2 linked regions of the Sus scrofa genome follow. The protein of the gene in region 2 interacts with the protein of the main gene of each other region in a biochemical or structural test. Links are inferred from orthologs where the notes say so. Each region holds a gene or a part of one and is shown on either strand. Other genes may lie near its edges.

The links.
Region 1: the proteins of HIP1R (region 2) and CLTB form a complex in vitro, tested with the Homo sapiens proteins (2 studies listed by BioGRID). The link is inferred for Sus scrofa from reciprocal best matches to the Homo sapiens genes HIP1R and CLTB.

The regions. Positions count from the first base shown.
Region 1 is NC_010444.4:81,477,684-81,482,336, reverse strand, and holds part of CLTB (clathrin light chain B), read right to left. Parts: intron 3,736-4,653; coding exon 3,618-3,735; intron 3,416-3,617; coding exon 3,304-3,415; intron 1,514-3,303; coding exon 1,460-1,513; intron 1-1,459. UniProt on the Homo sapiens protein: Clathrin is the major protein of the polyhedral coat of coated pits and vesicles.
Region 2 is NC_010456.5:30,003,263-30,007,915, forward strand, and holds part of HIP1R (huntingtin-interacting protein 1-related protein), read right to left. Parts: intron 4,042-4,653; coding exon 3,961-4,041; intron 3,631-3,960; coding exon 3,554-3,630; intron 3,300-3,553; coding exon 3,238-3,299; intron 1,462-3,237; coding exon 1,321-1,461; intron 605-1,320; coding exon 547-604; intron 427-546; coding exon 351-426; intron 151-350; coding exon 10-150; intron 1-9. UniProt on the Homo sapiens protein: Component of clathrin-coated pits and vesicles, that may link the endocytic machinery to the actin cytoskeleton. Binds 3-phosphoinositides (via ENTH domain).

The DNA.
Region 1 (4,653 bases), on a different chromosome or scaffold from region 2:
CAGGGGCGACACCCCTCTGCCATCCCCACTCTCCTGCCAACCTCCTATGGCTCCCTACCGCCTTCAGGATCAAGTCTGAGCTTTTCAACATTGCACAGCAGGCTTTTTGTAACTGGCTCCATACTGACCACCTCCCGCTCTATTCCCACCACCCCAGATACCACAGGCAGCCAGACATTTCCCATCTCCTTGCCTTGGCCCCAGCAGGTTTTCCCACCTAGGATGCCCTCCTCACCCTGCCAACCCAGCACACTCCTTCCCACACTTTTAGGACAGCTGAAGTTTCCACATCTCTGAAGCCTGCCCTGGCTCCCCCAGCAGAGGGTGGCTCCCAGAGCCTGGCATGTCCTTGCATGTGGCTCTTATCACAACAGGTCCTCCCCAACTTGAGGGAACAGACCCTTGTGTGTCTTATTCCTGTTTGACCAGAGACTGGCAGAGGGTAAGCCTAGACAGATGGGAGAGTGGACGGAAGGGAGGGGTGGAAGAGGGGCGGAAGGCTGTTACTCTGATGTGTCCCATGTTCGGTGAGGGAAGGGTTAGCCCAGACGGCGTCAGAGGCTGCCAAGGGCGTACCCAGGATGAGGAACAGCAAATATTTGGCACATACGCACGTGGCAGTCATCACACGTTCATCACTGCATTCTTTTCCCCCAATGCACCCTCCAGGCTGTCACTATCAACCAGCTGGGGTGGCATGAGAGGAAGTCTCTACATCTCAAGTCTGGATTAGTTACAGAAATGATTAGACCCCCAAACCAGGAACACATGAGAGGGGCCCATGGTGGTCTGGGGAGGAGCTTAAGGTCAAATTCAGGCTGAAGCTCTAAGCAGTACACTTGGGGGCAGGAGGAGGGGATGGCTGTGCATTCTTTATACCTCTGGCACCTGCACTCAATGTTTGCTTGCTTGCTTGCTTGCTTTTTCTACAACAGTGGCATATGAAGGTTCCCAGGCTAGGGGTCAAAATGGAGCTGCAGCTGCCAGCCTACACCACAGCCACAGCAATGCCAGATTCTTAACCCACTGGCGAGCGAGACTATGGATCAAACCAGCATCCTCGTGGATACTAGTCGGGTTCATAACCTGCTGAGCCACAACGGGAGCTCCCTCAATGTTTGTCTTGTTCAGTGGAAGACTCACCCACCTCCCACCCGAGAGGCATCTCAGAGGAAGGGAGGTGGCCTGCTTCGCCCTTCGCCTCTCTCACCTGGATATCTTTTCTTTCTTCTGCCTGGACTTAGCAAAGCTGTCTCCAGGCAGAGTAGAGGCTCAATAAACATTTGCTGGAGGGATGGAGGTGAAGATTGGTGCCTGTACCCGCCTTGCGGGCTCACCGCCTGCTCTGATCATTGCCCCAGGCCCAGCCACACTCATTTATACCCCACAAGCGGGAGACTCAAGAAACTGCTCCGGCCACACACAGGGGCCCTTGCAGAGGAGCAGAGGAGACACGTACACGTAGCCGATGATATCAGCATCTGGCTGCTGGTAGAATGCTTTGTCAGCGATCCTTAGGGGAAAGGGGTTAGGTGGGGGGAAGACGGGATGGCAAGACAGACAGGCAGAGGGTTAAAGAGAAAGAGAGACAGCGTTAGTACCTCCATTGGAGACGAGTTAGGAAGCTCAGTTCTAGAAGGCTTGGCAACTACCCACAGCCCAGAGAACAGGGATTCTCCACCCACCCGAGTGGGTGGTCTTTTCTAAAACTCAGCCCTGATCATGTTATTCCTCCTGTTTATAAACCGTCAGTGGCTCCCCAACTGTGTCTGCCCAACCCTGGCATTCGCGGCCCTGCATGTGTGAGCCCTCATTCCCGCCCTCTCTCCCCCCACTCCCTGGTGCCCGAGCACAATGTCCCTTTCTTTCATACCATGCTGTTCTCTGGTCTAGAATACCCTTCCCAACCCCCATCTTCTTTTTCCTGGTGAACTCCTAAGCATCCTTCAAAGCCCAGGTCTCCAGAGAAAGAAGTCCCCCCAACCTTGCTTCCATAGCCCTCCTGCAGAGGGCTCTACTACTGAGTTCAGCTCTACATGTGTGTTTCTCTCCCCTGAGCTATGTGAGGACACAGACTGGTTCCTTTTCATCTCTGTCTCCCCACTGCCCAGCCCAGAGCCTCATACACAGCAGCTCCTTGAACAGAAGTTGGTGGCTTCCCAGAGCCAGCCTTTCCCTTCCTGGTGGGCCTGGTACCTTGAAGAACACAAAGGCAAGGGCTGCTGGGCAGTGTCCAGTCTGAATCCATTTCTGCAAAGGTGTCCCTGGGTGGGCATCTGCTGTCTTTCCTGCCCATCATCTGTCCCTCTTCTTCCAGGAAGGGCATTCCAATTGTCTGTTGAAGCATCAGCTGCCCCCACTCAGTCCCTGTGGTTTGGGTGGGATGGGACCCCAAGCACCACCCAAGGAATGGGACTATTGCCCAGGCTGCGTCCATCAGAGGAGAGTCCCTCCCCCGAGACCGTCACTGGGGCCGGGATGGGCACGTGACCCATACCAGACCAATGACGGTCAGCCCAAGGACTTCGGCAGGAGCTATGGGAGCAAGAGGTTTATTTTTGCTGAAGTTGCCAAGGAAATAGAGCAGAAGCCTGGAGCTGCTGGTGGCCAGCTTTGCCCCCATCCCAGGTGTGCGTGCCTGAGAGGGAGAGCAACGCAGAGGAAAGCGGAGCTGAGAGACAGTAAGAGTAAGCGCTGATGGACTTTGTTGCCGCCCGTGAGCCCACCATGCCTGCATCCCCACCCCTGGCCTTTCCAGTTATATAGGCCACTAATTCTGCCTTTTATTCCTTAGCTGCTCTGGGTCAAAGCATTGTCATTTCTATAAGCAATAAAATCCTGCACACAGCTTGGCTCTTCCCTCCCAGCCAGGCTTGTGTTCCTGTGATGCTGACCGTGGCCACAGGTAGCCCAGGTCAAGCTGTTGCCACTGGGCTCCAGGGCAGCTTGGCTCATGTTCCAGTGGGTCCTGGGACCTCATCTGCTGACTGACAAACTCGATCTTCTCTGTCATGATCAGGAGGTAAGATTCAGGGCTCTGACCTCCGTGCGTGGCTGAGGGAATAGCTCTGGGGGGTTCAGCTTCTCCTTCCTCCCAGCTCTCGCTGCCAAATCACCATCCTCAGTAGTCCCCACACCATAGGTCCTCTCCCTGTCCCCACAGCCCCCTCATGTCCCCATAGGTCCTCTCACTGTCCCCCTCAGCCCCCTTGTGTCCTCATAGGTCCTCTCATGTCCCCATGGTTTCTCTCGCTGTCCCCCCAGCCCTCTCACAGTCCCCAGAGCCCCCTCACATCCTCTCACCGGTTATTGATCTTGTTCTTCTCAACTTGCTCACTCTGGCGCTGGTTCCATTCCTCCAAGTCCTTCTTGGCCTTCTCCCGCCACTCTTGTTCCGTCACTTTGGAGGCAGCATCTGTGACCCCAACAGGTGAATGAGCAGCAGTTTTCCAGCAGGGACATGAGGACACAGCTGTCCTGGCAGCTTCTCCCCTCCATCCCTGGCGGGAGTCCCAGGGCCCATCCTCAACCAAGTCCCCACCCCAACCATGTCCCAAACAGCCAACCCAGTGTCAGGGGCACCCCAGCCCAGCTCCCAGCCCCAGCCCGGCCCTCACCCAGCTCTTGCAGCCGTTTCCGCTGCTCCTCTCTCCACTTGCGGATGCTCTCGGGTTCCTGAGTCAGTCTGTCCGCCTGGGCAATGGCAGCGTAGCCATCAGCTGGACCGTTAGCATCCTAGGATGCAAACACAGGGCGGTGTACCCAGCCTGTCCACCTGCCCAGCTGTCTGTGGCACCCAAGTACCAGGACATCCCTCACATCTCAAACCACCTCGCACCCACTGTCTCCTGCGACTGTACCCTGCCTCTGCACTTGCTGTGTCCTCCGCCAGCAACTCTTCCCCCTGTGTGGCCCTGAGCAAGTCACTCAACCTCTCTGTGCTTCATTTTCCTCCTCATAAAATGGGCTACAAAACAGTGCTCACCCCATTGGGTTAAGATGAGGATAAAATGAGTTCAAAAGTGTAAAGAATTTCAAACGCTTCTTGTCACATGGGGAGTCCCCTGTGTTTCTATCATTAAAGTCCCTCTCTGTTAGTTTTATTTGCCCAATAACCCACAGTCCCAAATGGCCTCACTTTATCATAATGCTTACTTGTCCACTGCCTGTCTCCTCTATCAGAACATCACCCTTGTGTCAGCATATCTTGCCTGTTCTGTTCACTGTCTGTCCCCAGCACCCAGCACAGTGCCTAGCACATAGCAGGTATTCAATAATTGGTTTTTGTTTTTGTTTTTTTAGAGCCACACTCGTGGCATATGGAAGTTCCCAGGCTACGGATTGAATAGGAGCTGTAGCTGGCAACCACAGCCACAGCAACACAGGATCCAAGCCACGTCTGTGACCTATACCACAACTCATGGCAACACCGGGTCCCCAACCCACTGAGCGAGGCCAGGGATCGAATCTGAATCCTCATGGATTCTAGTCGGGTTCATTACTGCTGAGCCACAACAGGAACTCCCTTCAGTAACTGCTTACTGAGTAAACAAGCAGCCCTGCAGTGGACGGCCACAGCTAAAGTTATGCAGTGATGAGAAACTCAGACTCTGGAGTTCTCATTGTGGCTCATCCGGTTAAGGATGCAGGGTT
Region 2 (4,653 bases):
ACAGCTCACCGCTGGCTCCCCCGCGGGGGGCCCTGTGCTGATCTCAATGAGGTTCTCGGGTTCCTCATCCTCGGGGGCTTCCTCGGGGATCACCACCACGGGCTTGATGTGCTCGGCCAGCGCCGAAGCCCGCAGGAAATTGGGGGGTCCCTGCAGGGGTGGCAGGTGGAAACTGCTCAGCACTCTCCGCCCCCCGGCCAGGAAGCCCTCCCTCTGCCGAGCCCATAGCCTACATGGAGCCCCATGTGCGGCACCCCCACCAGGCACCGAGGTCCTCAAGCACACAGAGCCCAGAACCCACGGCAGGAAAAGGGCTGCAGCCTGGCGGCAGCCTCTAGAGGGCGCAGTACCTCGGGCAGCCGGGGGATCTGGATGAGCCGCTTGAAGTAGAGCATGTCAGAAGCTCTGCGGAAGAAGTTTCTGAGACTGCGGGGGAGAGATGCGGGCGGTCAGAGGAGCCAGGCCCCGGCCCGGCAGCCCCAGCCCATGTGGCCAGGAGCCACCGAATCTCTTCCCGGCCATCCTCAGCCCTGCCCAGGCTGCTACCTGTGAAACTGCTCGTGGAACCGGTCCCTGTGGCCTTGCAGGGTGTCTGCGGGGAGACCTGGGAGCAGAAAGGTGTAATGGGACTTCCTCTCTGCTCACTGCTCTCTGCCTAACACTTCAGATCCACTCCCTCCTCCACATTCTAGAAATCCGCAGAGATTAGTGAGATCACCTGCCGCCAAGCTGGGACACACCCCTCATGGGGAGGGCCAGCCAACACCCCCGTGAAGGGCTCAGCTCTGGACTGGATGAGGGAAGGCAGAGGGACAGAAGCTCCACCCCAGCCCTGCTGTGTTGTCACGCCGCTCTCTCTAGTTTGCCTGAGGTTGACGGTGGAGCGGCTCACAGACGCCCGGCCAGTGGCCCTTTCTGAACACTAAGGAGACGCCGCAGGCCGCCTCAGCAAGCGGGGTGAGGCCCACTGCCACCTCCAAGGCCAGATGCTTAAAGGAACCAAAACACATAAAACTAGCAGCAGCTCTTCTCACTAAATCTTTGTTTTGGAAAATAGCAATTTTTATTTTTTAAATTTTATTCTTTTTTTTAATGATTTTTTTTTCCATTACAGCTGGTTTAGGAAAATAGCAATTTTTAAAATAACAAGTATGTTATTTATGGTAATGGGTAATGAGATTATTGCTATGCTTAATTAATAAATATCTCAAAGTTGCTTGGTTTCCATTTCTGATAGTGTCTATCAACACAGTTCCTCTGGGCCTTGGGCTGACCCTCAGGGCCTGAGGCAAGCAGAATTGGGGGTTGGGGGGAACTCACAGGAGTGCAGCTTGAACATGAGCTTGACAGTGTAGTGGTAGAGATGGCTGCAGTCCTGGATGACCTGGATGAGGGGCGCCAGGCGGCATTGGCCCGAGGACATCTGGGACACAGCAATGGCCGTGTTGAGCTGCCGGAACACTGCAAAAGAGAGGGTCGGGAGGAGGACACTGAGCACAGGGAGCCGGGAGAAGCAGGCGCAGAGCCCACTCTGGTCACAGGCATAGTGATGCCACTTTGAGGACAGTGGCTGAGCATAAGCCCTGGCTGTCATCTCATGGCACTGTCACAGCAACTTCAGGAGGTAGGTTTGAAGATGGGGCAATCACCTGAGAAACCAGCTTTAGGGGTCCTGGATGGGCAGCGGGACTCTACTCCAGGCCCTGGGACAGTGACGTGCTCCTCAAGGCTGGAATGGACCCCCTGTGCTGAAACTGCCACAGACCGAGGCCCACTGGGCCCATGAACGAGAGTGACGACAAGGTGGGGGCAAATGAAACCCAGCTCAGCTTGGCCAGGGCTTCCCGAGCGCCTCCAGGTGATGGGCCCAGGATGTGGAGGGACAGGGTGACTTTGACTGTCCTGCACCCATGGGCCTCCAGCTCCCCCTGAATCTTAGGGAAGGATGGAGACCTGGGCTTGGTCTGTTTCACAGCAGCGGTTCTCACTCAAGATGCAGTTCTGCAAACCCCAAGGGACTCCCAAACTTCACTTGCACCAGGGGTCAATCTCCCCTGCCCCCAAGAACCAGCCTTTCTTTCATCCAATGGACCAAATAGGAGAAGGGACAAATACACCGAATTCTTAATTATGTGCTACATCAAGTACATTTTCCTTGTAAAAAATGAAAATACACGCAAGGAGTTCCTGCTGTGGCACAGTGGGTTAAGAACGTGCAGCGGTTTGGATCACTGTGGTGGTGTGGGTTTGATCCCCAGCTGGCACTGTGGGTTAAGGATCCCCATTGCTGCACCTGTAGTATAGGTCACAGCTGCAGCTTGGAGTCAATTCCTGGCCCAGGAACTCCATATGCTGTGGGTATGGCCATAAAATAATTTAAAAAAATTAAATACCCATGAAATACTACGTAGAGTTTTAAATACATCATAGTCACTTATCATCTGAGGGGTGTTCAGGACACTTCCCGTTCGGGGCTGTTACAAACCCCCTCACACTATTTCTCAGGGATATGGTGGCACGTGGGTGGAGGTGCCCACCTCCCCTCGAGGGGACCACTGGGCGAGGCACATCTCTACAAGACGGCTGCCCCCCAGACTCAGCCAGCCTCAGAGTGCGGAACCTGGCAGGCCAGGAGGCTGCCAGACCCACCTCTTTCTAACTCTGATTTCCCTTAAAAAGGCATTTGCTTTTCACTCTCCTATGGAGAGCACTGAGTCACCCACAAGTTGTTCTGCCCAAACAATGACCTCTGCAGCCCAGGGAGGGTGAGCCCCCTGAGGTTTCCCGACCGAGGACTGGGAACAGGCCTTTTACAGCAGGGAATGGGCGAGACGGCCCAAGGCAGCTGTCTCAGGGCGGGCTCTGCAGACCTGAGTCCAGAGGGAGATGGATCAGGAACCTGAAGAGGCTCCTGGCAGCGCCCCCTCCCACCCCCACTCTCCCTGCCTTGAGGCCAATGGAGTGGGTTTCCTTTAGCCGAGATCTTGCCCTGGACAGACTGTGGTGGGGGGCCTGGCGTCCTGCAGGGGCAGTAGAGGCCTCTCCTTCTGGTGCTTTGGGGGCACCTCCCCTGGAGGCCCTGTGACCTGCTTCTGGCGGGGGCATGGACCCCTGGGGGCAGGTGCGGTCATCAGTGGTAAGTCAGGCTGGCCCCCTGGAGGTGGCAGGCCTCTCTCCCTCTGGTCCCAACCCCAGCCCCGGAGACTGACCCCCAGACCCTGGATCTGGCCAGCTCACCTGATTCGGAGAGCTTCAGCTCACAATCCATGTAATCAAACATCTCCACGGTGAGCTGAAAGCTACAGACAGAGGGAGGGAGGAAGGAGGAGGGAGGGCTGAGAGGCAGGGTCTGTGAGGAGGGAACACAGTTCAAAACACGCCTCTGCACAGACAGCAGTCCAACAGCCCCAGCGCCCAGTCCCAAGTATGCCCCATCCTTCAGCTTTAGCCTCATGTCCCAGGCACAGGACCTCAGCCCCGGACAGAACACAGCCCCCGTGGGGACCCGGGTGAGGAACACTGCAGGGACAGACAGGGAAACCGAGGCACTCACATGTTGTTGACGTCAGTGCCAGCCGCCTTCTCCAGCACCTCGTCTGTCACCTCCAGGCCCGCAGGAAACTGGGGGTGCTGCAGAGAGGACACCACCACTCAACCGCAGCCCCATTTGGCTCTGGCCCAGACCCACTTCTAGTTTTTGAGGGAGGGGGAGGGGTGGGAGAAGCCCCCCAGCCTGTGGAGCCGCCATCTGCCCAGATGACCCGGGGAGAGGGGACAAGGACGTCCAGTCAGGGCGCAGAGTGGGACTGAGACCACCACCTATGTCTAGAAAAGCCTCAGGGCCTTAGGACAGTCCCCTGGGGTCAGGCCAGGACAGACCCTACCCTCCACGATGTCCCAGGACATCACAGAGGGAAGAGCCCAGGGTCCCCCCAGGCCCACGACTCCTGAGGAAACTACCTTGAGGTGGAAGGAGATCTTGGTCAGCAAGAGTTTGGTGTACACATTCACCAGCTGTCCATAGCGGTCATGCAGATGCCCCTGTGGAGAAAGGGCCCAGGGGAAAGATGCGTCTGGAACATGTCCAGGAATTCCTCAGGGCAAACAAGGAAGCTGAGGCCAGAAGACACAAGGTGACCAGGGAGGTGTCATTCCTTCACCCACCCACGCTGTCACTTATTCATTCAACAAACATTGCTGAACCCTGTAGAGGCGGCCAAACTTCTTTCCCAAGAGCCTCTGCCAACTCCCTCTCTGCCTATTGCTCTCTCTTCTTCTTCTTGCCAAAGAAACTCTTGTGACAAGAGAGCTCTTTGTTCAGGGCAAGAGGCCAGCTCAGAGTTGGGATACTTTATTAAAATGCTGGTGGCAGCCAGGGAGGCACATTCTAACAGGCGCGTGTACACATCCTCCCTGATGCTTCCTCAGTCACTTCCAAACACCATATCCCTCGTGGCCACACCAGCTGAGCCTGCGTCTGCAAATGGCACCAGGGACACTGGTTTTCTTACTTTGAGGAGCTTTCTCTCTGTAGGCCAGACAGTTCCCAGGGCCCCAGCAGTGTTCCCAGAGGACAAGCAAGGCCAAAGGCCCTCTCTCCACCCAGGTGACCCCCTAGATCCCAAGTGTCATGGAGTGAACTAGAATGCAAGC